7 linked regions of the Xenopus tropicalis genome follow. The protein of the gene in region 4 binds, or shares a complex with, the protein of the main gene of each other region. Links are inferred from orthologs where the notes say so. Each region holds a gene or a part of one and is shown on either strand. Other genes may lie near its edges.

Region 1 (4,183 bases), on a different chromosome or scaffold from region 4:
AAGAACCAGATTACCTTGCGAGGGTGTAGTCGAACTATAACAAATTAAGAAGAAAGAGAAGACAACCTTTCAAGGTCTATTCAATTTACTTTTCTAAACAAAATACTAGTGCTTTTTGTTATATTAATGCAATAGTATTTCTTATTACAGTCCCCCAATTTGATTAAAGTGACAAGTGCTGTGATTAAAGTTGTCTTTATATCAATATTACAGAAGAGGAAAACTTAAATGATTCCAATTTCCAAGGCCCAAATACCTAACTAGGAACTAGTAGTTGAACTACAACAAGATACAAGAACAAACACCCTATAGAAGTCTTGTGCAAATTTGACAAAATTCCAATTATTACACACTCCCAATATTCAAGAGATTTTAGAAAACTGCCTGACGCGCGTTTCGCCTTTAATAAATCTCTGGCTAAATGCATGTCAGGCATTTTTTTTACAAACCTTTTAGTCTCTTTTAATATTTGAGTTTTAACCAGGCACTGAGGAAGCAATTTGGGGTAATAGTAGGCGTCTGTGTGAGTTCCCTACTCTTTCCTCTTAATGTGTATCTATATTACGATACTATACTATATCTATACTATCTAGACTTATGAGGTAAAAAATTGAAACATAAAAAGCAAATATTCACACTATACAGCTTCCCTGCATGTTTGTTTAAGAGGCTCTACAGTCAAAATTCCAATGAATGTAACCTTGCTCCGACTGCTCTTCCATCACTTTCCCTTTATTTCTACTGCTGTTTTCTATATTATCCCATATACCCAAGCCAGGGCCAGGGAACCAGCAGTAAATACTGCACTAAGTGAGAATGGCCCATATCATGTAATAGTTTATTTATAAAGCAACATTGTCTGTAGCTGTGGGATATGATAATGTCACAGGGACAATAGGGTTAACATAAGAGCTGACAATATGAGGGCTCCTTCACAACAGAGACTGTTATACCATGCCAGCTGCTTCCATTGGTAATTGGGCCATATATTATATATTTGATATATTTCGGCAATGTATCTGTAGCGTGTCCACCCTGCATCGGTGGAGCTTTTACCAGCAGGTTGGTAGATCCCAATGGCAGCTGGAAGCCCACAGCTTGGAGATAACTTTATCGCTGAATTCCATATAGCATGGCCTGACCCCCCGCTCCGTGAGCCTGACTGCTGGGGCGCTCGGCTTGTGTATATGCTGCGGGACCCCGGACCCCAGTCCTCACCTTCTTCATTCATGGTTCCGCCTGCGTTCTCTGAAAGAAAAAGTCGCTACTACCCTACAACCCAAAAGCTTCTCCACGCCGGCCTGCTATCATCTGGCAAGGACAGAGTTAATCTCGGCATGGCGAGCTGACAGAAGACGCCCTTACGCGGACGACGTCATTGGAGTGCGACAGTGCAATGGCTGTTTCATTCTGAGAAGAAGAGTTGCTATGGCTTCTGGTGAGTTACCTGGGTGTTGTGGATTTTATGAATGCGGCTGTGCGGTGTGGGGGTGCCGCCTGAGAGGCTGCCAGGCTATGCTTGGTGTTGGGGTTCTTCAGAACAATTCAGAGCTTGGGCGCATTGTGAAAAGTGCAGGATGATAATAAAGCCCTGCGCTATATAAACCCAGAAATACGCACCATAATACCATTGCCACTTCCGGTTAGTACAGAATACTACTTACAGGGTAGCTATGGAAATGTCCCATGCTGACAGGCGCACAACGGACCTACAGCTCAGTGACACATTCAGGAATCATTTGGAAACTGCATGCAATTCATATATCAACTTATTATAAGCTATTTAATGCAGGTGGACTGGTGGCCTAGGCAGACCCACTGGCCCAAAATAAAGCACAAGTCTATAGCACCTAACAGCTGCCCCACTGGCATTTGCCAGAATATCCATATTGCCAGTCTAGGCCAGTGGCATAACAAGTGGGTACTGGTCCCTAATACAACATCTTTTACAGCCTTTTTTATAAACACTTTAGAAACCTAGTTCAATTTTTATTTCTACATCAATCAGTTCCCCACTGGATCCCCCACTAGTTTTTATTAACTGAGCAATCAGTTAATAATCTGCCGCAAACAACTCCTTATTCTCTGAAACAAGTCTGTGTAGCATAGCAGATGACAAACCTTTGCCAACATACAGTGCTACTCCTATATGATTGCCAAATATAGGGTAATGCCATCATCCAGTGTGACGGACCTTATTCAGTAAATGTCAAATGCCGCACTGCATAAAAGTATGTGCATGAAAATGATAAATGTTATAACCTAAAATGGAACACAGGCAAATTTGCCTGTACCAAGCGGACATTTCACTTACCCCTTCTCATGGATTTATTTAAATCTTGTGTTGCCCCAGCATTGTGTAAAATTGCCTTCCCAACCCTAACTGCCATTAAGATATTGCCTGTATTGTAGGTCCACAGATGTCTCCATTGTAGCTGTACCCTGAATTGTGAATTTTGCAGGATAAATGATAATAAAGTGTGTTTGCACTATATGTATAAAAATGTTATTACATGCTAATAATGCTGGCATCTTAAATGAATATGCTACTGTAAATTATACTATCATATGTTATATAGCTTATAACATTAAAGATTTACCTGTATAACTTCTAGTCTATAGGCATCTGTGCTTTATCAATGTTAGCTGCTTCCCACAATGGTTCCAACTAACTCTGTTGCTCTCATACAATAGAATCCCATGCTGAATCATGGGTCTTGCCAACTTTTAGTAGATACCAGCCCTAAAAGATTCCAGTTTGGTAGAAAAATATATTGAATGAACCAGCAGCGTCAAGTGCAGACTGCAGGGAATAAGTTTCTTGAGAACTGTTAAACTTCAATATAGTTACACATTTGAAAGGAATTTGTAAAGGCATATATTATTCAGTTGATGGTAGTGATTTACCATAATGCATATAAATGCTTTGTAGAATTTTTAAAGATAATAGAGAACTGACACCCATCCTATTGCTAGAATAGGCATTTCAAAAATTCCTTCTTTCCTGCAGATGATGACGTGAATCTTTTGGTTGTTGTTGTTGATGTGAATCCTATTTGGTGGGGTCAGCAGGCACTTAATCATTCAGAGGTAAAGAAAAAGTCATTTATGAACCAGACACATTGCATTTTACAAGTGGTCCTGGTAGGTTAGCCGTCCTGTTAAAAGTTGAGCTTACTACCCACACACTAAAAAATAATTTATTTGGTTGTTAAGTACTCCATGTACAGCAGACTATTCAACTGCAAATGTCTTGCAGTGTTGCAGCAGCTTCAGATCAGTATCATAACAACAATCACATGACCATTCATCTCAGTCTAATTGCTTGGCAATCACATACAATTCTATTTCTCTGTATCCAATCCTATCAGTTCCTTCTGTGTTGCCTTTAAATTACATCCAGCTTATTATGTAATTGTCAGGCATGTTAGCCCAATGTAACTGTGTTTAAAAATATGCTAATATGCAGGCTTGTTATAACCATTTTTATGTTTTATTTTCGGCAGGTAACACTTCCAAAATGCATTGATGCAGTAATAGTGATGGGGAATTCCCATCTATTTATGGGCCGTAATAACAAGCTTGCTGTCATTGCCAGTCATATTCAAGAGAGGTAAACAGAGCTTTTATCTGTACCAATATCAATAATAGTTAAAAGGGAGAATAACACTCATTTGTGTGAGTGGCAGGCGGACCCATTGGCCACAAGTTGCACCACAGGTAACAACTCCTTCATAACTAGTAAATCAAGTGCAAAAACAATTAACTGCCTTTGTCCTCATCTCCTCTTATGTTATTTCTGCACTTGGTTTAACTTATATGAAAGTGTACTGCCACCCACACCATTGGGCCTTACTATGCCTACAGCAACACATAGGTCCCTTTTTTTAAAAGTTATTATTTTCCCAAACTTTTACGCAATAGTTTGAGAAACGGAAAAGAAAGAAAGCAGGAAGGTAAGAAAAGGTGTGGCAAGTAAATAGCATTAGTACCACAGTGTATGCAGGCATTAAGTTAATTAGTAGAGCTAGAGCATTTACCAAGCAACCCAGATGGCATGAAATTTATTGGGGCAGTCTCTGGCAATATATGTTCGTTTCTGATATGGTAAGGTGTCATCAATGCAGATGTCTGCTGCCAGTGCAAAAAACGGCCTTTTTAGCATAGTAAAATAGTTGTAGGT
Region 2 (4,081 bases), on a different chromosome or scaffold from region 4:
CTGACGGCGAGTGTGTTAGTTACTGACGGCGAGTGTATAGTTACTGACGGCGAGTGTGTTAGTTACTGACGGCGAGTGTGTTAGTTACTGACGGCGAGTGTATAGTTACTGACGGCGAGTGTATTAGTTACTGACGGCGAGTGTATTAGTTACTGACAGTGAGTGGGTTAGTTACTGACAGTGAGTGGGTTAGTTACTGACGGCGAGTGGGTTAGTTACTGACAGTGAGTGGGTTAGTTACTGACAGTGAGTGGGTTAGTTACTGACAGTGAGTGGGTTAGTTACTGACAGTGAGTGGGTTAGTTACTGACAGTGAGTGGGTTAGTTACTGACGGCGAGTGTATTAGTTACTGACAGTGAGTGGGTTAGTTACTGACAGTGAGTGGGTTAGTTACTGACGGCGAGTGGGTTAGTTACTGACAGTGAGTGGGTTAGTTACTGACAGTGAGTGGGTTAGTTACTGACAGTGAGTGGGTTAGTTACTGACAGTGAGTGGGTTAGTTACTGACAGTGAGTGGGTTAGTTACTGACAGTGAGTGGGTTAGTTACTGACAGTGAGTGGGTTAGTTACTGACAGTGAGTGTAAAGAGACCCCCATAATGGCTGCCTGAGTGGAGGCGGGGGGGGGGGGGGTGGATCAATAAAAAGAAAGTCCCAGCTCCCGGGAGGCGGACACTCACCCACTTGCTCAGTGAATCAATGTCGGAGCAATTTGGATCCGGTTTTCACTCTTGTGGTTTCCCAGTCCGTTTTCGGTCTGCGAACTCCGCCATATTGCTACACCCAAATACTGGCCTCAAGCAGCCCCTGCCCCAGGGTAAAGTCCAGCCCGCCGGCTCCTAACAGCCCCGGTTTGGTTGCCTGTGGCGCTTTTCACGCTCAGAAGAAGGAGTTGGTGTCGCGCCTCACTGTCAGTCTGACTCCCATGCACTTCGCTAAGCTCATTTCCGTGTGTAGCAACATGGCGGCACTCTAGCGTGCCTCAGCACGTAACCAAGCGACATCCAATCACAGTCTGGCTTTGTTCAAATCCTAACGCAGCTTTGCTATCACCGCTTTGATTGGCAACATTTTAAGCCAGTAAATGGCCGCGCCCTGGCAGGTAGCCAATGGGCTTTCTACGTAAGGTTATGTTTCTCCTGAGCTGTGTAGCTGCCGCATTGGCCGGTAGGGGGCGCTGGGACACGCCTTGCAGGAAGATGGCGTAAAGGCACTGCCCGTTGTTTTGGGGAGGAGATTAAGTGGAGGAGCTGTTTCCGGGTGTTGACGGAAGTTCCTGTCCAAGGGTGAAGATGAGCGGGACGGAGACAGCGCCAGACTCTCTATCTGCTATTGCCTCAGTCCAGCCCGGTCCGGCCCCAGAGAGTAAGCCCAGCCCGGCAAACATTCCCAAACCCGGGCCTGCCGCGGCCTCTGCAGCTGCTCTACCCGGGAGGGACACGGGGGAGCGAAGAGCCAGCGGTGAGCGGCAGCAACTGAACCGGAGAGGGAGGGGGGGGTACTCACAGGGGACTGGGACTCCAGGAAAGGCCTGGGGAGAGAAACCCAAGCATGGAGGGGAAAGGGAGAGCCGGGGGGGCAGCTGGAGCAGAGAGGGGCCCGGGGGGGGCAGCTGGAGCAGAGAGGGGCCGGGGGGGCAGCTGGAGCAGAGAGGGGCCCGGGGGGGCAGCTGGAGCAGAGAGGGGCCCGGGGGGGGCAGCTGGAGCAGAGAGGGGCCGGGGGGGGCAGCTGGAGCAGAGAGGGGCCGGGGGGGCAGCTGGAGCAGAGAGGGGCCCGGGGGGGGCAGCTGGAGCAGAGAGGGGCCGGGGGGGCAGCTGGAGCAGAGAGGGGCCCGGGGGGGCAGCTGGAGCAGAGAGGGGCCCCGGGGGGGGCAGCTGGAGCAGAGAGGGGCACCGGGGGGGGCAGCTGGAGATGAGAGGGGGCCCCGGGGGGCAGCTGGAGCAGAGAGGGGCCGGGGGGGCAGCTGGAGATGAGAGGGGCCCGGGGGGGGCAGCTGGAGCAAAGAGGGGCCCGGGGGGGGGCAGCTGGAGATGAGAGGGGGCCCCGGGGGGCAGCTGGAGATGAGAGGGGCCGGGGGGGCAGCTGGAGATGAGAGGGGCCCCGGGGGGCAGCTGGAGATGAGAGGGGGGCCCCGGGGGGCAGCTGGAGATGAGAGGGGGGCCCCGGGGGGCAGCTGGAGATGAGAGGGGGGCCCCGGGGGGCAGCTGGAGATGAAAGGGGTCCCGGGGGGCAGCTAGAGAGGAGGGGGCTGTCATAGCTGAGAATTGCCCTTTGCTAGGGCAGGGGGTAGGAGTGGTGCCGGGGGTGAGAAGGGGAACGTATGGAAGGAGCTGGGTGAATGGACCTGTTTCGGGGCAAATGGTGCCCACTGGGTTGTACAATGGGGAGTACAGTTTGGGGACAGATAGGGTGGGGGGGTATTTGGAGAATTGGGCGCAGGTAAGTGCCCGGCTGTGTGACTATTGCCCAGTCCTTTCCAATTCCAATGTATGTTCTGTTATTGATCCTCCAGTCCCTGCATCAGCGGCTGCTGCCCCCTCCGAGGGATCCCTCTCTAATGGCGTGTACCTGCCCCCGGGGGTGGCAAATGGCGATGTCAAACCTGTCATTTCCACTACCCCCCTGGTGGATTTCCTGATGCAGCTGGAGGACTATACCCCTACGGTAAGTGTCCCTTGGGTCTGTATGGGAAATGCTGTGCCCTAGGGTACTGGGGGGGGGCAGTGCCAGGCATTTGCCCCACCTTACACAGTGTCAGGGTGCAGCTTGTGCCTACAGAACATCATTTCTCTGTATGTATGTATATCTGTTGGTGGGAGCTGCCATATTGTTTCCCTGTATCATTGCTTGTATCTGTTCCAACATTTGCTTTACATTCCTTCTCCCGATTTCCTGCAGATCCCAGATGCCGTCACTGGATATTACCTGAACCGGGCCGGGTTTGAAGCATCCGACCCACGCATGTAAGTACAACTCCTGCTGCCATACGTTATTGGCCCGTGGGTACCGGAGCTTCTCAGAGCCCTGTAGCAGTTGCCTCGACTAGGAAGAACCTTCCCTTATTCTGGCCAGCCTGTAGCGCTAGGTTATGGGCCGCCGTGGCCAGTAGCCGTTTGCTCTGTGCCTACCAGGAGAGCTGACAGTCACGCTTATGGCCACAGCAACTGGAGGCCTAAATAGGGGTTAAAGTGCCCGTTCTGGTGCTGCCATTCCGTTATATGTATTATCCCTCTTTATTATTGTTTATCTTGCTTTCTAGGAACTGTAATGTAATTGGTGGAGACTCGTTTGGTGAGATTGCCAAATGAGCGGATCTTCTCCACCTACAGTGGGCAATACCGGGCTAGGGCCAAACCATCGCAATGGCAGATATCGGTTGGGTAGGCCCGTCGGGGGGTGCCCATACACGGGCAGATAAGCTGCTGAATTGGTCTGAAGGACCCGAATCGGCCCTTAAAGGAAAAGTAACACTAAACATTTTTAACTAAAAAATCTATTCTGCCCTCCCCCAATAATTGCCCTATCCTGAAATCCATTTGTTATTGTGAATGCATCAACTATGCGGTGATCGACTGATCGAGCCTAGCCTGACTCATTCCTATATACAGAAGTCAGGGGCTAGATCAGTCGATCACCGCATAGTTGATGCATTCACAATAACAAATGGATTTCAGGATAGGGCAATTATTGGGGGAGGGTAGAATAGATTTTTTTAGTTAAAAATGTTTAGTGTTACTTTTCCTTTAACCCTAGCAACCAATCAGAGTTGCTTTCATTAGTCTTACTGCAGTTATCCAATCAGGCCTGTATGGTGATTACTATGAGTTCAGCACAGCATCTGTATTGACTTCGCTTATTTTGAATTTCACACCGGATCCTCTCGATCTCTGTAGTGATCCGCTGACCCCACCGCTTGTCTCTCCTAGAATCCGGCTGATCTCCTTGGCATCTCAGAAGTTCATCTCTGACATTGCAAATGACGCCTTGCAGCACTGTAAGATGAAGGGGACGGCCTCCGGGAGCTCTCGCAGCAAAAGCAAGGTACCCCGCCAGCAAATGCCCTTCAGTGGGGCTATTGTGC
Region 3 (3,477 bases), on a different chromosome or scaffold from region 4:
GAACTTAATTTCCAAAGAATTGTCAGGTGGGTGAAAATGTTCAGTCCTTGGTCACTTATATGTACATTTCGAATCTTCTTCATTGGTAGTTTTTGATATTTCTGGGTTCCTTTGTAAGCTTCACTGGCACAGGGACTGGTGTGAATGATCTATGTCAGTGCTGTCCAACTGGCGGCCCGCGGGCCCCCCTCTGTGTGGCCCCCCACCTGTCTGGCTGCTTTGATGGCTTACCTTTGAGTAAGCATTAAATGGTATAAGTACTGAGATTAACTGGCCCCCTGCATGGTTCTCACCTCAGATTCAGGCTGTAATCCCTCTGTATTGTTTAAAAATGTAATCCATTGTGTTTTTCACACCTTTTAATCCCTGCATTGTTCACCCCCTGCAGTGTTCACACCTCAGGCTGAGACTGTAATCACTCCCATTGTTCACGTATTCACACCTCAGACATAGGTACTGTAGGCAGAGTATGGCACATGCAGCCAGCATAGGGCAGGTAGAGTATGGCACATACAGCCAGCATAGGGCAGGTAGAGTATGGCACACACAGGCAGCATAGGTCAGGGAGGGTATGGCACACACAGGAAGGGTAGGGCAGGCAGAGTATGGCACACACAGTCAGGGTAGGGCAGGCAGAGTATGGCACACACAGGCAGGGTAGGGCAGGCAGAGTATGGCACACAGAGGCAGCATAGGGAAGGCAGAGTATGGCACACACAGGCAGGGTAGGACAGGCAGAGTATGGCACACAGACAGCATAGGACAGGCAGAGTGCTGCCTGTGTGTGCCATACTCTGCTTGCCCTATGCTGCTTGTGGGAGGTGAACCTGGCAGGGGTTTGTTGTGGGAGTTTGTTAGCAGTTGGAAATAGCCATTAAATGGTCCCTAAGGTGTTTAATTATGTACTGGGGGTTGCTCTGCTATCCACAGGGGAGGAGGAGGCATATGGAATTTAAGGGTATATCTTAATATGACCTAATTCTTTCACATATGAATGATGGTTGATATCCCCACAGTAAGGACCAAGCATTTGGGATTTTGCTGTGCTACCACCATTGTGATAAAATAGGTGTGGTTTCAAAAAGGGGAGTGGTCAAAACTGGCTTCCATTAGCGGCCCTCCACCATGTATGCTAGAGAAATTCCGGCCCTTGGCACTGTAGAAGTTGGACAGCACTGATCTATGTAATTATACAAGTTGTACATTTCAAACAGTACACTGAGGCCTTTTGTATTCTATATGCGGTTGCAGTTATTCTGACTGCATATTTAATCGGATGGAAGTTTTATTGTTGCAGTGCATATACCAACTGTTCAGTATGGTGAACTGATCACACCCATGATATCTTTACTCTTTGGCTGTGTTTAACTCTCAAGCCATAAACCAGCTGAAAAAACTTGTTCCTTTTAATCCCCATGTTTTGTGTGCTTTAGATCGCTTTCGGTTTCTTTTAAACAAATTACTGGTGATTGATAGGTCTCAAGCAGTTTTCTCTAAATGGCACATTTTTATGTATGTCTTTCATTTTTCAGTTTTTGACACCCGGCTATTGGTATGTTTTTCTTACTTGCAATCAGAATGTAAGCTTTAAGACAAGCACTTGCTCTAATGGTATACATAGATGTATTTACTTGTTATAGGCATAATTAAAGGGTCATATTAATGGACTCTACAGTTGAGTAAATTAACTTGCTGTGTACTCCATGTTTAGTCTTCTTGCAGGTAATCCGCATTCCTTTAACTTGCAGCCTAAGTGTAGGGTGATGTTAGCAGCCCCTGCACTTTTTCTCCCCGGCACGCAGCATGCTTACTGCTCAAACCCAGGTTATGGTGCATGCTTTGTTAGGGGTAAATGCATAGAAATCCAACGTGACCCCAGCAGTGTTACTGCACCAATTCTAAACACAAAGGTAGCTTTTGGCTTCAAATGTACTCCTGTTTCTTGGCCTAAATTTAGTTGCCTGCTGTATATAGGCTGACTTTCTCGTTTTAAGTGATTTTCCCATCTAACCGAACAGTGTGTTTCTGTCTGCATTTATTAAGACCAAATGTTACTGCTAACAAATGCTTATGTCCAGTATTAAATAGAATAGGGCTGTTCAGCTGGAGGACTGAGGGCTGTATGTGGCTTTTTCTGAGTTCTTTATAGCCCGTCTGCCCAAGATCTCCAAAGACATCTTTCTATGGCATAACTGCTATAGAATAATTGGCCCAAATCATTTGAAATAAAAAATGTTATCCACAACATGGGAAACATTGTATGGCTTCAGTATACAGCTGCCTGGCTGGAGCCATGTAACACTCACTGCTGCTTGTACAAACTGCACATGTAAGTAAGTAACCTAATTTTTCTTATTTCCAAACAGCATTGATGCACTTCCCAAGGTAACTTGCCCAAACCATCCTGATGCCCTTCTGGTAGAAGATTATAGGGCTGGGGATATGATCTGTTCAGAATGCGGATTGGTAGTGGGTAAGTCTTTGTTATAAAACCCCATTATTAAATGTGTAATCTATTTCTGAGTTCACTGTTAGGGCTTGTGTTAAACATGAATTCTGTTTTTCACTAAATGCAAATCGGTAAACAAACTGGTTTTTTTAGTGTCCTATATATATTTTGCTTAAGTTCATAATAATCCTCATCATTATTACTATGGCTTAGGTATATATAATGCCTTTACGGTTGTGCTCTGTAGCTTTGTAGCTTCAGAGCCAGTTTTTCGTTTTTAAATATTTAGACCTACAGCATTTTGCTGGTGCTCTACATTAAGTGGTCAGATTATGCAGAGAGGAGCCCTTGGCCTGAACATCTAGATATTGGACTGTTTTGCAATCCCACAAACAGGAAAATAACACTTATCCATTCACTCTTTCATGGCCTGAAAAAGGTTGGCTACCCTATTTGCCAGTGCCCTATCATGTGCTGAGAAAGAGCATTGGTAGATTTGTTACTCTGTTTTAACAGAGTGGCTGTATCCCATAGGATGGTCTTCTGAAATCCTACCCTGATGTGATTTGGTCAGTCTCCCCCACACCTGAATTCAGGTTTACACATAAGAAAACTTTGTTAAATTTGTCAACCCCCTATAGTGCTAGTGATATCCATAGTGGCAAATAAATTGCAAACCTAAATCTTTCCCTTAGTGGACTTCAGGCAAAGCTCCTCTTTTGGCAACATATGGCATAGAGTTCTTTTGGTGCTTTAGATTCAGAAAAAAGCCACAAAGCCTCAGTCAGGGCAGTATCTGCAAAGAATTTGTCCTTCCCATGCTTTCCACTTTCCTCCCACATCCCAAAAACTTACTGGCAGGTTATTTGGCTCCTCATTAACCATAGTTTGTTGGAGACATGAGACTGTAACCTTCACTGGGGCAGGGACTGATATTCTGTAGCACAATACAGAGATTATACATATATTCATATGTTGGCACCATGTAAAGGAAAATGCAAAAGGCATAAAAGATAATGAACAGCTGC
Region 4 (4,154 bases):
GTTCTGTAGTGCACATGCCCTTGCCCAAGCCTGGCAGGTTATGCCTGAAAGGGGGTGGGGTTGCTGAAGCAGGTAAACTAAGTGGCTGGAATCCCTGAGGATGCCTAATAATATTTACTACTACCAGTCATTTTACTTTTCCTTCTCCTTTAAAGCTGGGCAAATTTTAGATTTGCTTCTTTGGCCTTGAGCTGACCAATTTGATTTGGAGCCATTTTATCTAGTCTAATAGTTTCTACTATTTTCTAGCTCATTCTGTAGTGCTACAGCCTAAACTCAGCAATAAACCTACGGCTCCCTGTACTGTTGAGGCATGATCTTACTGAGTACAATGGAAATTAGGCACTAAGTTATGTACATAAACCAACCTTGTGTTGTGAAACTAATTTGTGCGTTTAATTGGTTCCTCAGAGAAAAAGGTTTAGGGGCACATATAGCAAAATTTGTATTATTGTACTACAAAATCTCAGAATTTAGATATAACAAGGCTTGATTATTACATCTGAATGAATACGTTTATGGTTTTTATAGCTTCTTAGGGCTCTGGCACACGGGGAGATTAGTCACCCGCGACAAATCTCCTTGTTCGCGGGAGACTAATCTCCCCAAAATGCCATCCCACCGGCGATTCAGTGAAATCGCGGAAGTTGCCTTGAGAGGAAACTTCCGCTATTTCACTGAAATCGTGCCGCCACGTATGCCATCCCACCAGCGAATGACATTTTCGCCGGTTGGATGGCATTTCGGGGAGATTAATCGCCCGCGAACAGGGAGATTTGTCGTGGCGACTAATCTCCCCGTGTGCCAGAGCCCTTAAGAGATTTGGAGAAACTAAAACCACACGCAGGTCATTTTACAAATTTTGCTTGAAGGAATCCCATTGTGACATCTGCAAGTGTATAATTTGACTACACCATTTTAGTATACCTTTTTTTGTCATTTCAAGCAATTTGCTGCTGCTAATATTATAAATATCCCCTACATCTTATCTTTTTTTTTTTTTTACTTTATTTGTTCTTTTAAACAGTCATCTAGTTGTTGGGTCACTGATTTATACAGTAGGATTAATAGCAGATTAGCTTCATGGTGTTGTCTTTACTGCTTGCTATGGTCACATAAGGTTGTCATACACTTGCAGGTTCTAGCTGCCAATTTAGTTCCTTCAGACCAATTTGGCAGCTTATCTGCCTGTGTATGGGCACCCCCAACACGGATCGGGGACCACATTGGCTCGTTGTTATGGCCCTCTGTCCTACTGTTAACTTATCACATTTACCAATACAGGTGCTAACTGCTGAATGTAAGCTATGTTTTAATGTTTTTTTTTTTTTTTTTTTTTTAACTTCTTTTTATAGGATTTTTGTCTGCTGCTGGAATGGTTTATTTTAATTTGTAGGAACAGCACACTTTGTTTTATTCTTAGTGGGATTTCCAATTAACGCAACATGGATCAAAACAACAGTATACCCCCTTTCCAGGGGTTGGCATCACCACAGGTAAGTGTGAACCCTTTTTTCCCTTTTACCACAATTCCCCCTCCATAAAATAAAATGCCTTTAAAAGCATTGTAATATTCACTTCATTTGCACTTTCTAAATTGGGGGGTATACGGTATACCGGGTGTGGTTAATTTGGACAACAGATACAATACTGAAGAATGAAAAAATAGAAGAAAAACTTGAGACACAGGCCAATATGCTTCCAACTGACTTAGGGGGGAAATGCAAGTCAGCAGCCAATATTGGCTTCAATGCAAATGTTTCTCTTGCTGGGGCGCTTGTCGTAATAGGTGGAGGAACGCCATCCTGAGGGCTCTTGAACACAAAACAGATGTGTTCCGTTCTCATTCATGCATGTGAATGAATATAGAGCTGCATTTCATCCTATGCTTCCTTGTGGTGGAAAGGAGAAGAAATCCAATTCGGGAGACTGCAGGGTGAAAACACCTGTGTGTAAGAGCCCTTAGCTTGTCCTACTCCATGTGCAGGGCTATACCATAAGATTTTCATTAAAGAAATCCCCATGTACTAAGCCCATTTTAACTTGTGATTCAACTTGTGTGTGGGTTTGAGAGCAAATTTGTTATAATTTTTTTTTTTTTTTTGTCTTTTATTTCTGTAGGGTTCTCTGACTCCAGGGATTAACATTTTCAGTCCGTTGATGCCCTATGGAACTGGTCTGACCCCTCAACCTGTACAAACAACTAACAGTTTATCAATATTGGAAGAACAGCAAAGACAACAACAACAGGCCCAGCAGTCTACATCACAACAAGGCAATCAGGGGTCAGGCCAAACCCCACAACTGTTTCACCCACAGACTCTTACCACAGCACCTCTTCCAGGAAATACACCCTTATACCCCTCCCCAATGACTCCCATGACCCCTATTACTCCTGCTACCCCTGCATCAGAAAGTTCAGGAATTGTTCCTCAGCTACAGTAAGTCTCATCATCCTGGGGGACATTTTGCAGATATCATTTGTCAGATTATCTGTATCTGCACACTTGTCAACAAATCCTTATGTTTGTCTGTACATTTCTGTAGTGCCATAGAGCATACAACTCTGCAAATGGTAAATATTAGATATACAGGAAATGGAAACATATTCTGGCATATTTTAATTTTAGACAGTAATGACTTTATTTGTTATACCACATTTGAGTGTGGCCTGTCAAAATTAAAAGACCTTATCTTTGTTTTACCTTTGGTACTAATGAGTATTTTAACAGTGCTGCATTACCTTTGTTTACCCTGTGAGTGTTACATTTGTTTAAAAAAAAAAAAAGCTACATTTCTTAAAAATATAGGAGTCCATATTAGATTTAAAAGCTACCAGGCCAGGGGTGTGTGTATATATTAGGTCTAGAAACAGATGCAGACGGTTTCCTCATTTCAGACTTTTACACCACATTCTTGAGACTGAATTGATGTCATATTTAAAGTGAAACTTTATTGAGGGAGAAAGACTTGTCTTGATATGTAATTTAGCATGTACAGTAGTATCCTAGTTTTAATGTGTCCTATATCTGTCCAACATGTGTGAAAAATAGAACAAGTAAAGAATTGGGAAATTAAAATAGTTTAGCACTTTTACAAGTACTAATAGTGCAAATTTTTTTTTTGTAATACTTTTTAAAAATTTCCCATGGGGCTAGCCATGTTCATTTCCCAGGGTGCCACAGTCATGTGACTTTTGCTCTGATAAAGGTCAGTCACACTTTACTACTGTGCTGCAGATAGGAGTGATATCATCATCCCCCTGCAGGCGATCAGCAGAACAATGTAAGTTAGCAAGCTAGCAGCTCCCAGTAGATATCAGAACAGTACTCAATAGTAAAAAAAAAAAAAAAATTCAAGTCCAGTAGCTCTGGCTCCTTCTGAAAGCTCAGACTCGGGCACAATGCACTGATCTGGCTGCCTACAACTAAAAAATTACTTTTGTTGGTTTAAGAATAAAATTTTAAATGGTAAATTATTTGCTATGTAAACAGTAATTTAGAAATATAAGTACACAATAAAAATTAATGACTGAATACCTTTAAATACAGTGAGCAAAAATATTTGGATTTGTAATAACTGCTTTTACATTGTTCAGGAACATAGTGTCCACTGTAAATCTTGGCTGCAAACTGGATCTGAAAACAATTGCACTTAGAGCGCGAAATGCAGAGTATAACCCTAAGGTAAGACAAAAGCCTTTGTTGTATCTTATTCACCTAATAGTTGCTTTCACTGTGACAGACGGGGAGATTAGTTGCCACGTGACAAATCTCCCTTGTCGCGAGCAACTAATCTCCTCGAAATACTATCCCATTGGCTGGAATGTAAATTGCCAGTGGGATGGCATAAGCATCGCCGAAGTTTCCTCTCAAAGATGCCGCGTATGCCATCCCACCTGCGATTTACATTCTAGCCGGTGGGATGGCATTTCGGGGAGATTAGTCGCAACTAATCATCTCGTCTGTCACAGCCCTAAATATTCTTATCTATCTGTAAAAGTCATTCAGGAGAACACACTGGTGCATTGTATGGCACTTAATTCTGTAAATGTGTGATGAGAAAAGGATTTCCTGTTTGTAATTTTGTCCTGCCATACCCACTGGGCATAGTATTTTTATGCTGGCCTAGAAGTGGCATGAGGATGGGTTATC
Region 5 (4,217 bases), about 41 Mb from region 4:
CCTATTGCTTAGTATAGCTGTAACTATTGCTGCCTATTGCTTAGTATAGCTGTAACTACAGCTGCCTATTGCTTAGTATAGCTGTAACTATTGCTGCCTATTGCTTAGTATAGCTGTAACTATAGCTGCCTATTGCTTAGTATAGCTGTAACTATTGCTGCCTATTGCTTAGTATAGCTGTAACTATTGCTGCCTATTGCTTAGTATAGCTGTAACTATTGCTGCCTATTGCTTAGTATAGCTGTAACTATTGCTGCCTATTGCTTAGTATAGCTGTAACTATAGCTGCCTATTGCTTAGTATAGCTGTAACTATTGCTGCCTATTGCTTAGTATAGCTGTAACTATTGCTGCCTATTGCTTAGTATAGCTGTAACTATTGCTGCCTATTGCTTAGTATAGCTGTAACTATAGCTGCCTATTGCTTAGTATAGCTGTAACTATTGCTGCCTATTGCTTAGTATAGCTGTAACTATTGCTGCCTATTGCTTAGTATAGCTGTAACTATTGCTGCCTATTGCTTAGTATAGCTGTAACTATTGCTGCCTATTGCTTAGTATAGCTGTAACTATAGCTGCCTATTGCTTAGTATAGCTGTAACTATTGCTGCCTATTGCTTAGTATAGCTGTAACTATTGCTGCCTATTGCTTAGTATAGCTGTAACTATTGCTGCCTATTGCTTAGTATAGCTGTAACTATAGCTGCCTATTGCTTAGTATAGCTGTAACTATAGCTGCCTATTGCTTAGTATAGCTGTAACTATTGCTGCCTATTGCTTAGTATAGCTGTAACTATTGCTGCCTATTGCTTAGTATAGCTGTAACTATTGCTGCCTATTGCTTAGTATGGCTGTAACAAGGATGTCCAAAGGGATCAAAGCTGAAAGGAATGACCAAATGTTCTGTATGGGCCAACTGTAACAATAGTGAGGCAATAATTGAAAAACTGGGTGGGTTATAGGGTTTTTAAAAATCAAAAATTAAAACCATGTCCATTATTCACAAAAACATGGCAGTGTAACTTCAAATAAAATACTAAGTTTGGGATATCAGGAGCAGACTCTGAGGGTAGTGGGTATTGCTGGTAATCACCAGAAAAATAAAGCTTTTTTTCATATTTACCTCACCCACAAATATAAACAAAGTGTTTTTTTTGTTCCCATTTACATGTTCTGTGGAGCAGAGAAAGCAAATATTTGTTTTTTCATCAAACACTGGGGATAAAGCTTCTAAGGGCAGTGGCCATGGCAAGGAAACACGAAGGAAAAAAGCAGTCGTTATTTTCTTTATTTATTCTCTAACAAAATCAGAATCTGTGAGAGCAGAATAATCAGTCAGCGGCCCCCACTGCCAGCTATTGCCTGACTAACTCTTCACCCAATGACGAGTTGGCGCCGTCTCCGCCCCTTTTATACGTGGTTCATGACGTCATATTCTCGCGAGAGGAGGCTAGCGGCGTGTGGCTGAACATGCCTGCGGGATGCTTGGGGCTGGAAGTGCAAGCGGCGCTGCGGGGAATGTAAACACAGTGTGAGGGGGAAGCAGCCCGCTTGTCTGATTGTAACCGAGGGGAGATGGATGGGAGCAGCGAACGCAGTGCGGAAAGGGAAGATTCCGAGGAGGGACCGAGTGAGGAGGAGGTTCTGGGGCTCCAGCTGCCGGTGCCAAGAAGGAAACCCCACGGTAAAGACACTTAAGGGTATATTGATCATGCTGTGTAAAAAGTGGAGTAAAACATCACCAGTGTTGTTGTATATAGCAGCCAATCAGATGCTTTGATTTGATTTTCTAACTGTTGAAATCTAATTGCTGATTGGTTGCTCTGGGTAACATCACCAGTACTGCTTTACTCCACTTTTTACACAGCATGATAAGTACATACCTCCCAACATTTGAAAAATGAAAAGAGGGACAAAAAGATTTGGCGCGCGCGCAGTGCGGCATTTTTTTTAATCACGCCCCCTTTTGTGGCCACGCCCCAATTACCACACCCCATTAAAAAAAAATACCCCTTTTATATAGATGAAATGGCGGGCGCAGACGAAAATGTGCTATACCCTCATACTGTACTACCTAAGGAAAACAATATAGCAACTCCTACATATAAATACAAGTATAGAGAGAAGGCAGTCAGTTATAACTAAGTACCAGTTTTGCCCCCCCATACACAGTAGCCCCCCCATACACAGTAGCCCCCCCATACACAGTAACCCCCCCATACAGAGTAACCCCCCCATACAGAGTAGCCCCCCCATACAGAGTAGCCCCCCCATACACAGTAGCCCCCCATACACAGTAGCCCCCCATACACAGTAGCCCCCCATACACAGTAGCCCCCCATACACAGTAGCCGTCCCCCCGATCACAGTGTCCCCCCGATCACAGTGTCCCCCCCGATCACAGTGTCCCCCCCGATCACAGTGTCCCCCCGATCACAGTGTCCCCCCGATCACAGTGTCCCCCCCGATCACAGTGTCCCCCCCCACAGGTCCCCCCGATCACAGTGTCCCCCCCGATCACAGTGTCCCCCCCGATCACAGTGTCCCCCCCGATCACAGTGTCCCCCCCGATCACAGTGTCCCCCCCGATCACAGTGTCCCCCCCGATCACAGTGTCCCCCCCGATCACAGTGTCCCCCCCGATCACAGTGGCCCCCCCGATCACAGTGGCCCCCCATTCACAGTACCTCCCATAGGCGCAGGCTTCTTCTGCTGCTTCGTTATGCCTCTCCTTGTGCAGCGCGACAGGCCCTTTTATAAGGTTGCGCCCATGCGTAATGACGTCACACCCACAGGCGCAACCTTATAAAAGGGCCTGTAGCGCTGCACAAGGAGAGGCATAACGAAGCAGCCGACGAAGCAAGAACATCCGGCTACAGCAAGCGCATCCTGCTGTGCCGGATAGTTCCATGAATGTCCCGCAATGCGGGACAGTTGGGGGGTATGTAAGTATACCCCTTAGTAGTGACTGTCTGTGGCACCTTACAGCCCCCCTGGCATTCCCAGTACCCAGAGGCACAAACAGCCCCCCCAGCCCAATAAATAGTGACTGTCTGTGGCACCTTACAGCCCCCCTGGCATTCCCAGTACCCAGAGGCACAAACAGCCCCCCCAGCCCAATAAATAGTGACTGTCTGTGGCACCTTACAGCCCCCCTGGCATTCCCAGTACCCAGAGGCACAAACAGCCCCCCAGCCCAATAAATAGTGACTGTCTGTGGCACCTTACAGCCCCCCTGGCATTCCCAGTACCCAGAGGCACAAACAGCCCCCCCCCCCAGCCCAATAAATAGTGACTGTCTGTGGCACCTTACAGCCCCCCTGGCATTCCCAATACCCAGAGGCACAAACAGCCCCCCCCCCAGCCCAATAAATAGTGACTGTCTGTGGCACCTTACAGCCCCCTGGCATTCCCAGTACCCAGAGGCACAAACAGCCCCCCAGCCCAATAAATAGTGACTGTCTGTAGTACCTTACAGCCCCCCTGGCATTCCCAGTACCCAGAGGCACAAACAGCCCCCCCCCCAGCCCAATAAATAGTGACTGTCTGTGGCACCTTACAGCCCCCCGGCATTCCCAGTACCCAGAGGCACAAACAGCCCCCCCCCCAGCCCAATAAATAGTGACTGTCTGTGGCACCTTACAGCCCCCCTGGCATTCCCAGTACCCAGAGGCACAAACAGCTCCCCCCCAGCCCAATAAATAGTGACTGTCTGTGGCTCCTTACAGCCCCCCTGGCATTCCCAGTACCCAGAGGCACAAACAGCCCCCCCCAGCCCAATAAATAGTGACTGTCTGTGGCACCTTACAGCCCCCCTGGCATTCCCAGTACCCAGAGGCACAAACAGCCCCCCCAGCCCAATAAATAGTGACTGTCTGTGGCACCTTACAGCCCCCCGGCATTCCCAGTACCCAGAGGCACAAACAGCCCCCCCCCCAGCCCAATAAATAGTGACTGTCTGTGGCACCTTACAGCCCCCCTGGCATTCCCAGTACCCAGAGGCACAAACGCCCCCCCAGCCCAATAAATAGTGACTGTCTGTGGTACCTTACAGCAGCCCCTCTGGCATTCCCAGTACCCAGAGGCATTGGCCAGAACCCACAGATTGCCAGTCTGGGCCTGGTGTGGCTGTAGAGTTGCTAAATTGTATATAGGGAACCTCTGCCCTCAGTAAACTGATACATTTAGCCCTCATAAAGGAGACATATCATGTTAAAAT
Region 6 (4,282 bases), on a different chromosome or scaffold from region 4:
TGTATAAATAATATATCCAGATGGGAATTAAAGGGACAGTGCACCGGCACCACCTAGCCAATGGCTGAGCAGGAGCAGTCTTCCATTATATAATAGGTTAACGTTTTGTGTTTTAGCGCTGCCTCACAACAGGAGGCCAGTGGCACATTCTTACTCTTTGGTACATAAAATAACATGGGACCCCAATACTGCTTGGGGTTTCCCTTTGATTGCAAGCTCTTCTGTAAAGTGCTGGGTACCATACAGGCACTCTATAAAGTATTGAGGAGAAATCCGATAGAGGGAGGATACAGAATCAGAGCCTACTCCCTAACAGAACCCATTCCAGAACCTTAAGGGACAGAATTCTTCTCATTGGACAAAACCTGCAGGGCCCCTGATCACCCCCCCCCCCCCCTCCAGTGATCCTTTGGGGATCCAGTTTCCAGTCATGACTTGTAGATCCACTAACCTATCATTTATTGGGGATTAACCCTCTAAACACTGTGCAGGGAAAATCATCACCCCATGTAGATTGTATCTATCCCTTATACAGCCCCATACCCTCTCTAGTTGCCCAGTTTGTTACCCCACAATGGGGCAGTCACATTAACCCCCGGCCATGTCCATTTCCCAAGGCCCATTGAGTACTTAGTCCCCATTACACCACTTCTTATAAATAAATAAATAATCTAGTAGAATTTCTATTTGGCTTTAACTCCCCCATCACCATAATAACCCCAATACCCCTGCCCAGATACTATACTGGGGTACTTATTGGCTCTTATACCTCCAAACACTGCCCTAGGGTAATCATTCACCCCCTATAACCCCCATTACACCCCCAACAACTCTACTGGGATAGCTATTCAGTTCCCAAGGGATATATATACTTATTTACCCATATGCCCCTCTTATCCACCCACATACCCCTTTATTTACACCCCCCTACACTCCTTCCCAGATACACAAGCTTCTCCCTGCCCATAGTCACGGGAACCACATTAGTTGTAAAACTACAACTCCCAGCATGCCCCTCCGCCTAAGCGGCACGGTCGGTAGACAGCGGATCCCACAAGCGGCAGTAGTGCGTTTGTCCGAGCCCTGTATGAGGTGTCCCACCCACCCGGTGACAGGAACGCCCCCTCCCTCCCGGTAACCCGCAGCGGGCGGCAGACAGGAGTGGCGGCGGGACACCCGCAGCAGCCATTTTGAATTGAGCAGACAAAGAGCGCGCGTTTCTGTGGCGGGGCGACTTTCTCCGCTTCAGGCGTCGCCACGCCACCCGGTTTCCCGCGCAGACCCTTCCCCGACCGCCCCCTATTTTTGTGCCTCCCTCCCGTTCCACCGACCCCGCTCGATCCCCTCCTGCCCTCCCAATACCGCTCGCAGCCATTTGCCCGCTCCTTATGTAGCCATGAAGCAGCCAATGGGAGCGCCGCTCCGGTGTGACGTAATTGCCCCGCCGCGCAGGCGCACAGAGCTGCTGCCCTCCTGAGTTGAGCGGCGGAGTAAAGATGGCGGCGGGTTCGGATCTACTGGATGAGGTTTTCTTCAACACGGACGTGGACGATAAAGTGGTCAGCGAGCTGGTGGGATCCCTGGAGTCTCAGCTGGCCGCCGCGGCCCACCAGCACCATCATCACCACCACCACCAGCAGCAACCCCCCGCCGAGGCCCGCAGCCAGGCCCTGGCTAACCATGTCACCAGCCCGGGGGTAGGGGCAGCCAGTGCGGGGGGACAGCCTGAAGCCAAGATAGGGCTCTCCCCGGAGGTGCCTAAGACGGGTGAGGCCTGGGGGCGCCGAGCTGAGCGGGCAGGGGGGCCGCGGGAATGTTTTGGCGGCCGGCGGGCTGACTGGGGGCCTTCAGGGGCTCTGCTGGGTGTGATGGGCCCCGGGAAACGCTCTGGGGGCCCCACATGGACTTCTGGAGTTGCTGCTCTTGGAAAACTGGATACTTGTACTACTTGGCGCCTGTGGAGTGACTTGGAGGGGGGCCAAGGGCTTTGGGGGGGCACATTGGCCCATAGGAAATAGAATTGGGGGTACACATGGACTCCTGGAGCTGCTGATGGCTGGCGACTGGATATTTGGGGTATCCGGCAGTTTCCTGGGGTAACCGGGCAGCCTGGGGGCATTTGGGGGGTATACTGGGCCCTGGGCAGCCTTCTGGCCAGTCTCACATGGACTCATAGAGCTGCTGATGGCTGGCGACTGGATATTTGGGGTACCCAGCAGTTTCCTGGGGTAACCGGGCAGCCTGGGGGCATTTGGGGGTATACTGGGCCCTGGGCAGCCTTCTGGCCAGTCTCACATGGACTCCTGGAGCTGCTGATGGCTGGCGACTGGATATTTGGGGTATCCGGCAGTTTCCTGGGGTAACCGGGCAGCCTGGGGGCATTTGGGGGTATACTGGGCCCTGGGCAGCCTTCTGGCCAGTCTCACATGGACTCATAGAGCTGCTGATGGCTGGCGACTGGATATTTGGGGTACCCAGCAGTTTCCTGGGGTAACCGGGCAGCCTGGGGGCATTTGGGGGGTATACTGGGCCCTGGGCAGCCTTCTGGCCAGTCTCACATGGACTCATAGAGCTGCTGATGGCTGGCGACTGGATATTTGGGGTACCCAGCAGTTTCCTGGGGTAACCGGGCAGCCTGGGGGCATTTGGGGGTATACTGGGCCCTGGGCAGCCTTCTGGCCAGTCTCACATGGACTCATAGAGCTGCTGATGGCTGGCGACTGGATATTTGGGGTACCCGGCAGTTTCCTGGGGTAACCGGGCAGCCTGGGGGCATTTGGGGGTATACTGGGCCCTGGGCAGCCTTCTGGCCAGTCTCACATGGACTCGTAGAGCTGTTGGTGGCTGGCGACTGGATATTTGGGGTACCCGGCAGTTTCCTGGGGTAACCGGGCAGCCTGGGGGCATTTGGGGGGTATACTGGGCCCTGGGCAGCCTTCTGGCCAGTCTCACATGGACTAATGGAGCTGTTGGTGGCAACAGACTAGAGATTTGTGGCATTTTAGGGTTTTGGGGGTGACTGTGGGGAGATGAGTGCTGTGTGGATCATTAGGGGGCAGTTTGTGCCCCAGGAGAAGATTTGGGGGTCCACATGAACTTTTGGCGCTACTGATGGCCTTGTTGTAGATACTTAGATACCTGGGATTTTCTGGGGGCTATAATGAGCCTTAATAAATGGACTTGGGGGGCAAGAGGCACTATATGGTCATTTGGGGGGGTGTGGGTGAAATTGCCTTATGTGGGGTATGTTCCCCGTGTACTTGGGGAGCTGGCACTGAGGGCACCGTCTATATGCCGCTCACTTACAAGGGGGGGGGGGGGGGTAAATCTTCCTGGGGGCATCATTGGGTTCTCTTGGAATGGTTTGGATTTCTGGGTGGCATGTTGGGTTGTGGGGTTGCCTAATGCCGCTTCTGAGGGGTCCAGTGGGCGTTTGCTGGTGGAACCAAGTGCTGGACCAGAGTGGGTGCACAGGGGTGGCTATCTGTATATTCCGGCGGGTGTATACCCCATAGCTCTGTTTCTTTCCCTGCTGTTTAAAAAAAAATGTCCTTTTTCTCCCACAGGAGCCGCTGTACCCGGAGTACAAGGAGGTGTCATTAACAGCCGCCCACAGACCACAGCACAGCCTGACGGGACTCAGTCTGCTATACCCGAAGCACCAGGAGCTCTTAGCCAGGCCAAATCTGGGGTTCTGGGCAACATGGCTTCCACTCTGCCCAACCACAGTTCAGGTAATGGCAAAAATGCCACCCTACAGACCATGAATGGGAGTAATGTTGTGATTAATTCACACGGACCTGGGGGTCACGGAACCCCCTACCAGGGGAACAGCAATGCCGCTGTCGGCCTGGTAAACAACGGACCGGCTCCTGTCGCTAAGGGTGGAGTGAACCCAGGAGCTAACACCGTTATCCAGACTTCTTTCCTTGGGACTACTAACGTGGCATCCTCAGTCATCTCCTCCTCATCCACATCCACTGCGGGAGCAGCTGGGCAGCAAGCTGGCATGGCGGGCGTACCCACCAGCGTGGCATTGGTGAGACCTCTGTTGCACCAGGGCGTGCCCGCCACTCAGAACGGGAGCAATACTGTGATCAATTCCCCTCTGTCCGCCCCTGCCGGGGTCTCGCTGCAAATGAACAATCAGCCCAGTCCGGTGATCAAGTCGGAATCCCCTAAAACTATTATCCAGCCCCCTCAGCAGAGCCAGCCTAACCCTGGCAATATGGTGTTAGGACAGACTATGCAAGCTGGGCACCCTGGTCCTGGAGGAGCTGTG
Region 7 (4,290 bases), on a different chromosome or scaffold from region 4:
AGTTAAGCTGTTGCTGTCATTATTACCATGTTGTCTGATATGGTACTGAGGGAAAAAAGCATGGTGAGAAAAGGAAGGAAGGGGGGGGGGGGGGGTAAGAGAGAAGGGGAGATAACTTTTTCCAGAAACCAGAAGATGAAGGGGGAAAGAGAATTTTCATAATGGGGGGGGGAACAGAACTTGGAAGTGCTCAGTCGCTCAGCCGCTCCGTTGTTAACCTCATATCGTTTCCAGCAATTAACGTTAGACCTTTTCATGTATATCTGCTTTCTAGTAGTGTTCCTAGTCCAGTTTCATTCATTTATCTTTATATGATTCTAAGAACATAATCCATGGGGACCATGTCGAGACAAATTTGTCTGGTGTCCCCTGGACATTAATAAGTAGTTCCTCCATTCGCATAACATTTCCCATCTCTTTAACCCACTCACTTATTGTAGTACCTTTTTTAACATGTGCACAATAAAGTTATATGTCCCCTTCAAGGAGGATAGAATGTGGGTGTTTTGGTGCCCATGCAAAATAAGCTCTTGTATGGGTATTAAAACACCCAAAAATAGCTAATCATTGCTGATCATGGGAATTGTTGTGTGCACACCACCCCAAAATAGAGGAAGATGCATTTTGTGAATATTTAAAATGTATTTTCCAGCAATTTGATGACAGGGTTACACAATTTCATGTGAACAACAAAGTGCCCAATACGCCATCACCCTTAAACTAAGGGCCAGATTCATTAAAGTACAAATTACAAGTACGATTTGTGAAAATTTGAATTAAATACACAAATTTCTGATGTGCGTTAATTTTGCGAAAAAGTCACGTCGTGCTTGTACGAAAATATTGTGGTACGATCCGAAAGTTATGAAATGTTGGAATCCAAACGATCGTAAACGGCGGGAAAACCTTTCTGAGTTTGAACCTTCAGTGAATGATTTTGGAAGCCTCCCATAGGACTCAATGGCACTCTGCAGCTCCAACCCGGCCCAAGGAAAGCCTCCCATAGGGCTCAATGGCACTCTGCAGCTCCAACCCGGCCCAAGGAAAGCCTCCCATAGGGCTCAATGGCACTCTGCAGCTCCAACCCGGCCCAAGGAAAGCCTCCCATAGGGCTCAATGGCACTCTGCAGCTCCAACCCGGCCCAAGGAAAGCCTCCCATAGGGCTCAATGGCACTCTGCAGCTCCAACCTGGCCCAAGGAAAGTCTCCCATAGGGCTCAATGGCACTCTGCAGCTCCAACCCGGCCCAAGGAAAGCCTCCCATAGGGCTCAATGGCACTCTGCAGCTCCAACCCGGCCCAAGGAAAGTCTCCCATGGGGCTCAATGGCACTCTGCAGCTCCAACCTGGCCCACGGAAAGTCACAATAACGAAGCTTAAATTAGAGCTGGGCGGTATGACCAAAAATTTATATCACGGTATTTTTCAAAATTATATCGGTATCACGGTATTTGACGGTATATAAATAAAAAATAAATAATAAATATTGGTGGCCCCCCCACCCCCCCAACCACAACCCCCCCAACCCCAACCACCCAACCCCAGCCCCCCCAGCCACAACCCCCCCCAGCCCCCAGCCACAACCCCCACAGCCCCCCCAACCCAGCCACAACCCCCCCAACCCCAGCACCAGCACAACCCCCCAGGCCCCAGCCCCAACCCCCCCAACCCCAGCACCAGCACAACCCCAGCACCAGCCACAACCCCAGCACAGCCACAACCCCCCAACCCCAGCACCAGCCACAACCCCAGCACCAGCCACAACCCCCCCAGCCCCAGCCCCAGCCACAACCCCAGCACCAGCCACAACCCCCCCAACCCCAGCACCAGCCACAACCCCCCCAACCCCAGCACCAGCCACAACCCCCCCAACCCCAGCACCAGCCACAACCCCCCCAACCCCAGCACCAGCCACAACCCCCCCAGCCCCAGCCACAGCCACAACCCCAGCCCCACTTACCCAACTTGTGGTTCCTCCAGCGATGCGTCCTAGCGACGTCGCGTGCGCGCCGACGTCACATGCGCGCCGACGTCACGTGCGCACGGGCGCAACCCGGATGTAATTGGATAAAAACTGCAGGAGGCACGCATACCGGTATAGCGGTATGTTCAAAAATCATATCGTTTTTTTTTCAAAAACCGGTATACCGGTTAAACCGGTATACCGCCCAGCACTAGCTTAAATGAATCCGAAACTTTCGTACTTGTTGTGACAAATGCGATTTTGTTGCACAAATTGACACAAAGTACGAAAAAAGTTACTCAAAATACGCAGAAGTTGTAAACTTTAGAAAAAATACAAATTTTTGAAATCGGACCTGTCGTACTTTTAATGAATGTGCCCCTAAGTGATTACAATTGTCTTCCAATCCAAGAGTTACAAAACCCTGAAGTGACAAATTACCTGACGTGACTGTATTTTAAAATACAAATGGTCAGCTCTGTTTTCTATGTCAATAAACTTTTATTAAACTAGGTATAAACTTACCTGTCCAGCAGACGGCCATGATGACTGTTAGTTGGACTTTTGTTTGGCTTACTGGCATCCTTCGTTAATAAATTACAATCCGAATCACTAAAAAGTTCTTGGCTTTGAAGAATATCATAGCTGTGTGCATCTGGTTCACTTCCTTCCTCAAACATTGCTGCGATGGTAGCCATTAGTTCCTAGTGGCTATTCGTACCCCAGTGACATCATTGGCACGTTCCGCACGCCGTCATCTTCACGTTATACACGTGGTGTATGGGCGTATCCAAGTGACGTCCTTGTCACGTGTACACTGCATCATCGTCACGTGATGCACGTGCTGTATGTAAAGCCTATGCCGAGCCCGGGCACGTCATCGTGCGGCGTCATCGTCACGTGGTATACATGGTGTATATAAGTTCCACCTAAAGGCGCGACGGTCTTTCGTGCGTTGTCGAGACGACGGTGGGTTACTCTGTGAGTGAGAGATACAGAGCTCTGGGAAGTCTCTCGTGTTTTGTGAGTGTTGCAAATGCGACTTTTGGTGGGGTGGCCCTGGGAGGTTTGGTCGGGCAGATGTGGCTACTAGAGTGGCTCTAGGCTGTACTACTAGGTGCCCTTCTCTGCATGCCTTTTGCTCCCTGCCTGTGCCCCCTACACTGCCTGCCCTGGGAGGTTTGGTGGGGTATTGGGTGGGGCAGCCCTGAGAGGGTGAGTGGCAAATGTGGCTTTTGGTGCGGTGGCCCTGGGAGGTTTGGTAGGGCAGGTGTGACTTCTAGGCTGTATTAGGTGCCCTTCTCTGCACTCTGTTCCCTGTGTGTTCCCCTACTCAGCCTGCGCCCCCTACTGCTCCCTGTCCTACTCTGTTGTCTGCTCTCTGCCTGTGTGCCCCACTCTGCCTGCCCTCTTCTCCCTGTGTGCCACTACACTGCCTGCCCTGGGAGGTTTGGTGGGGTATTGGGTGGGGCAACCCTGAGAGGGTGAGTGCGGCAAATGTGATTTTTGGTGGGGCTGGTGTTACTACTAGGGTGACTCTAGGCTCTACTACTAGGTGGCCTTCTCTGCCTGCCCTCTTCTCCCTGCCTGTCCCCCCCTAGTCTGCCTGCCCTCTGCTCCCTGCCTGTGCCCCTGTGACTGCTAGCTGACTCTAGGCTCTACTCTGCCTGCACCCACTTACTCTGTCTGCCCTCTGCTCCCTGACTGTGCCCTCTGCCCTACTCTGCTGTCTGCTCTCTGCCTGTGCCCCCCATACTCTGCCTGCCCTGGGAGGTTGGGTGGGGCAGCCCTGAGAGGGTGAGTGTGGCAAATGGGATGTTTGTTGGGGCTGGTACTACTGCCTGTGCCCTCTGCTGTTTTCCTGTCCCCCCCTGCTCTCTGCCTGTGCCTACTAGGGTGACTCTAGGCTCTACTACTAGGTGCCCTACTGCCTGCCCTGGGGGGGTTAGTGGGGTATTGGGTGGGTCAGCCCTGATAGGGTGAGTGTGGCAAATGTGGTGATTGGTGGGACTGGTGTTACTGCTAGAGTACTACTGCCTCTTCCCCCTACTCTGCTTGCCCTCTGCTCCCTGCCTGTGCCCCCTAGTCTGTCTGCCCTCTGTTCCCTGTGTGTACCCTATGTTGCATGTCCTACATTGCCTATGGGAAGTGAGCCTGGTGAAGCTTCTTGTGTATAGTTAGAGTGCCCTAACGCAGCTGTCCCCAACATTTTTCCTCCCGGGGACCGGTGCAAAGAATGAAAGATTTTCTGCGTGCCGATGCATGTCTGCTTTGACTGCAGCTCTTCATCTTTAAATGTGTGCGCATTGCGGCCCAATCCTTGCATGT

The links.
Region 1: tbp (region 4) and gtf2h3 share a complex: the UniProt entries of both Homo sapiens proteins name them as parts of the TFIID-containing RNA polymerase II pre-initiation complex. The link is inferred for Xenopus tropicalis from reciprocal best matches to the Homo sapiens genes TBP and GTF2H3.
Region 2: tbp (region 4) and taf10 share a complex: the UniProt entries of both Homo sapiens proteins name them as parts of the TFIID basal transcription factor complex. The link is inferred for Xenopus tropicalis from reciprocal best matches to the Homo sapiens genes TBP and TAF10.
Region 3: tbp (region 4) and gtf2b share a complex: the UniProt entries of both Homo sapiens proteins name them as parts of the TFIID-containing RNA polymerase II pre-initiation complex. The link is inferred for Xenopus tropicalis from reciprocal best matches to the Homo sapiens genes TBP and GTF2B.
Region 5: tbp (region 4) and taf1a share a complex: the UniProt entries of both Homo sapiens proteins name them as parts of the transcription factor SL1/TIF-IB complex. The link is inferred for Xenopus tropicalis from reciprocal best matches to the Homo sapiens genes TBP and TAF1A.
Region 6: tbp (region 4) and taf4 share a complex: the UniProt entries of both Homo sapiens proteins name them as parts of the TFIID basal transcription factor complex. The link is inferred for Xenopus tropicalis from reciprocal best matches to the Homo sapiens genes TBP and TAF4.
Region 7: tbp (region 4) and taf1d share a complex: the UniProt entries of both Homo sapiens proteins name them as parts of the transcription factor SL1/TIF-IB complex. The link is inferred for Xenopus tropicalis from reciprocal best matches to the Homo sapiens genes TBP and TAF1D.

The regions. Positions count from the first base shown.
Region 1 is NC_030677.2:160,973,268-160,977,450, reverse strand, and holds the start of gtf2h3 (general transcription factor IIH subunit 3), read left to right. Parts: upstream 1-1,383; 5' UTR 1,384-1,428; coding exon of another isoform or gene 1,429-1,438; intron 1,439-3,010; coding exon of another isoform or gene 3,011-3,090; intron 3,091-3,506; coding exon of another isoform or gene 3,507-3,613; 5' UTR 3,614-3,720; intron 3,721-4,183. Other genes in the region: eif2b1 (translation initiation factor eIF-2B subunit alpha), read right to left, coding at 1,057-1,231. UniProt on the Homo sapiens protein: Component of the general transcription and DNA repair factor IIH (TFIIH) core complex, which is involved in general and transcription-coupled nucleotide excision repair (NER) of damaged DNA and, when complexed to CAK, in RNA transcription by RNA polymerase II.
Region 2 is NC_030678.2:177,470,375-177,474,455, reverse strand, and holds the start of taf10 (transcription initiation factor TFIID subunit 10), read left to right. Parts: upstream 1-1,281; 5' UTR 1,282-1,292; coding exon 1,293-1,461; intron 1,462-2,512; coding exon 2,513-2,664; intron 2,665-2,898; coding exon 2,899-2,963; intron 2,964-3,893; coding exon of another isoform or gene 3,894-3,926; coding exon 3,927-4,041; intron 4,042-4,081. UniProt on the Homo sapiens protein: The TFIID basal transcription factor complex plays a major role in the initiation of RNA polymerase II (Pol II)-dependent transcription.
Region 3 is NC_030680.2:105,695,398-105,698,874, forward strand, and holds part of gtf2b (transcription initiation factor IIB), read left to right. Parts: intron 1-2,366; coding exon 2,367-2,473; intron 2,474-3,477. UniProt on the Homo sapiens protein: General transcription factor that plays a role in transcription initiation by RNA polymerase II (Pol II). Involved in the pre-initiation complex (PIC) formation and Pol II recruitment at promoter DNA.
Region 4 is NC_030681.2:50,706,327-50,710,480, forward strand, and holds the start of tbp (TATA-box-binding protein), read left to right. Parts: upstream 1-1,354; 5' UTR 1,355-1,445; coding exon 1,446-1,496; intron 1,497-2,121; coding exon 2,122-2,441; intron 2,442-3,598; coding exon 3,599-3,686; intron 3,687-4,154. UniProt on the Homo sapiens protein: The TFIID basal transcription factor complex plays a major role in the initiation of RNA polymerase II (Pol II)-dependent transcription.
Region 5 is NC_030681.2:9,682,265-9,686,481, forward strand, and holds the start of taf1a (TATA box-binding protein-associated factor RNA polymerase I subunit A), read left to right. Parts: upstream 1-1,417; 5' UTR 1,418-1,573; coding exon 1,574-1,682; intron 1,683-4,217. UniProt on the Homo sapiens protein: Component of the transcription factor SL1/TIF-IB complex, which is involved in the assembly of the PIC (pre-initiation complex) during RNA polymerase I-dependent transcription.
Region 6 is NC_030686.2:4,389,809-4,394,090, reverse strand, and holds the start of taf4 (transcription initiation factor TFIID subunit 4), read left to right. Parts: upstream 1-1,482; 5' UTR 1,483-1,496; coding exon 1,497-1,767; intron 1,768-3,566; coding exon 3,567-4,282. UniProt on the Homo sapiens protein: The TFIID basal transcription factor complex plays a major role in the initiation of RNA polymerase II (Pol II)-dependent transcription.
Region 7 is NC_030678.2:100,292,372-100,296,661, forward strand, and holds the start of taf1d (TATA box-binding protein-associated factor RNA polymerase I subunit D), read right to left. Parts: upstream 2,801-4,290; 5' UTR 2,661-2,800; coding exon 2,488-2,660; intron 1-2,487. UniProt on the Homo sapiens protein: Component of the transcription factor SL1/TIF-IB complex, which is involved in the assembly of the PIC (preinitiation complex) during RNA polymerase I-dependent transcription.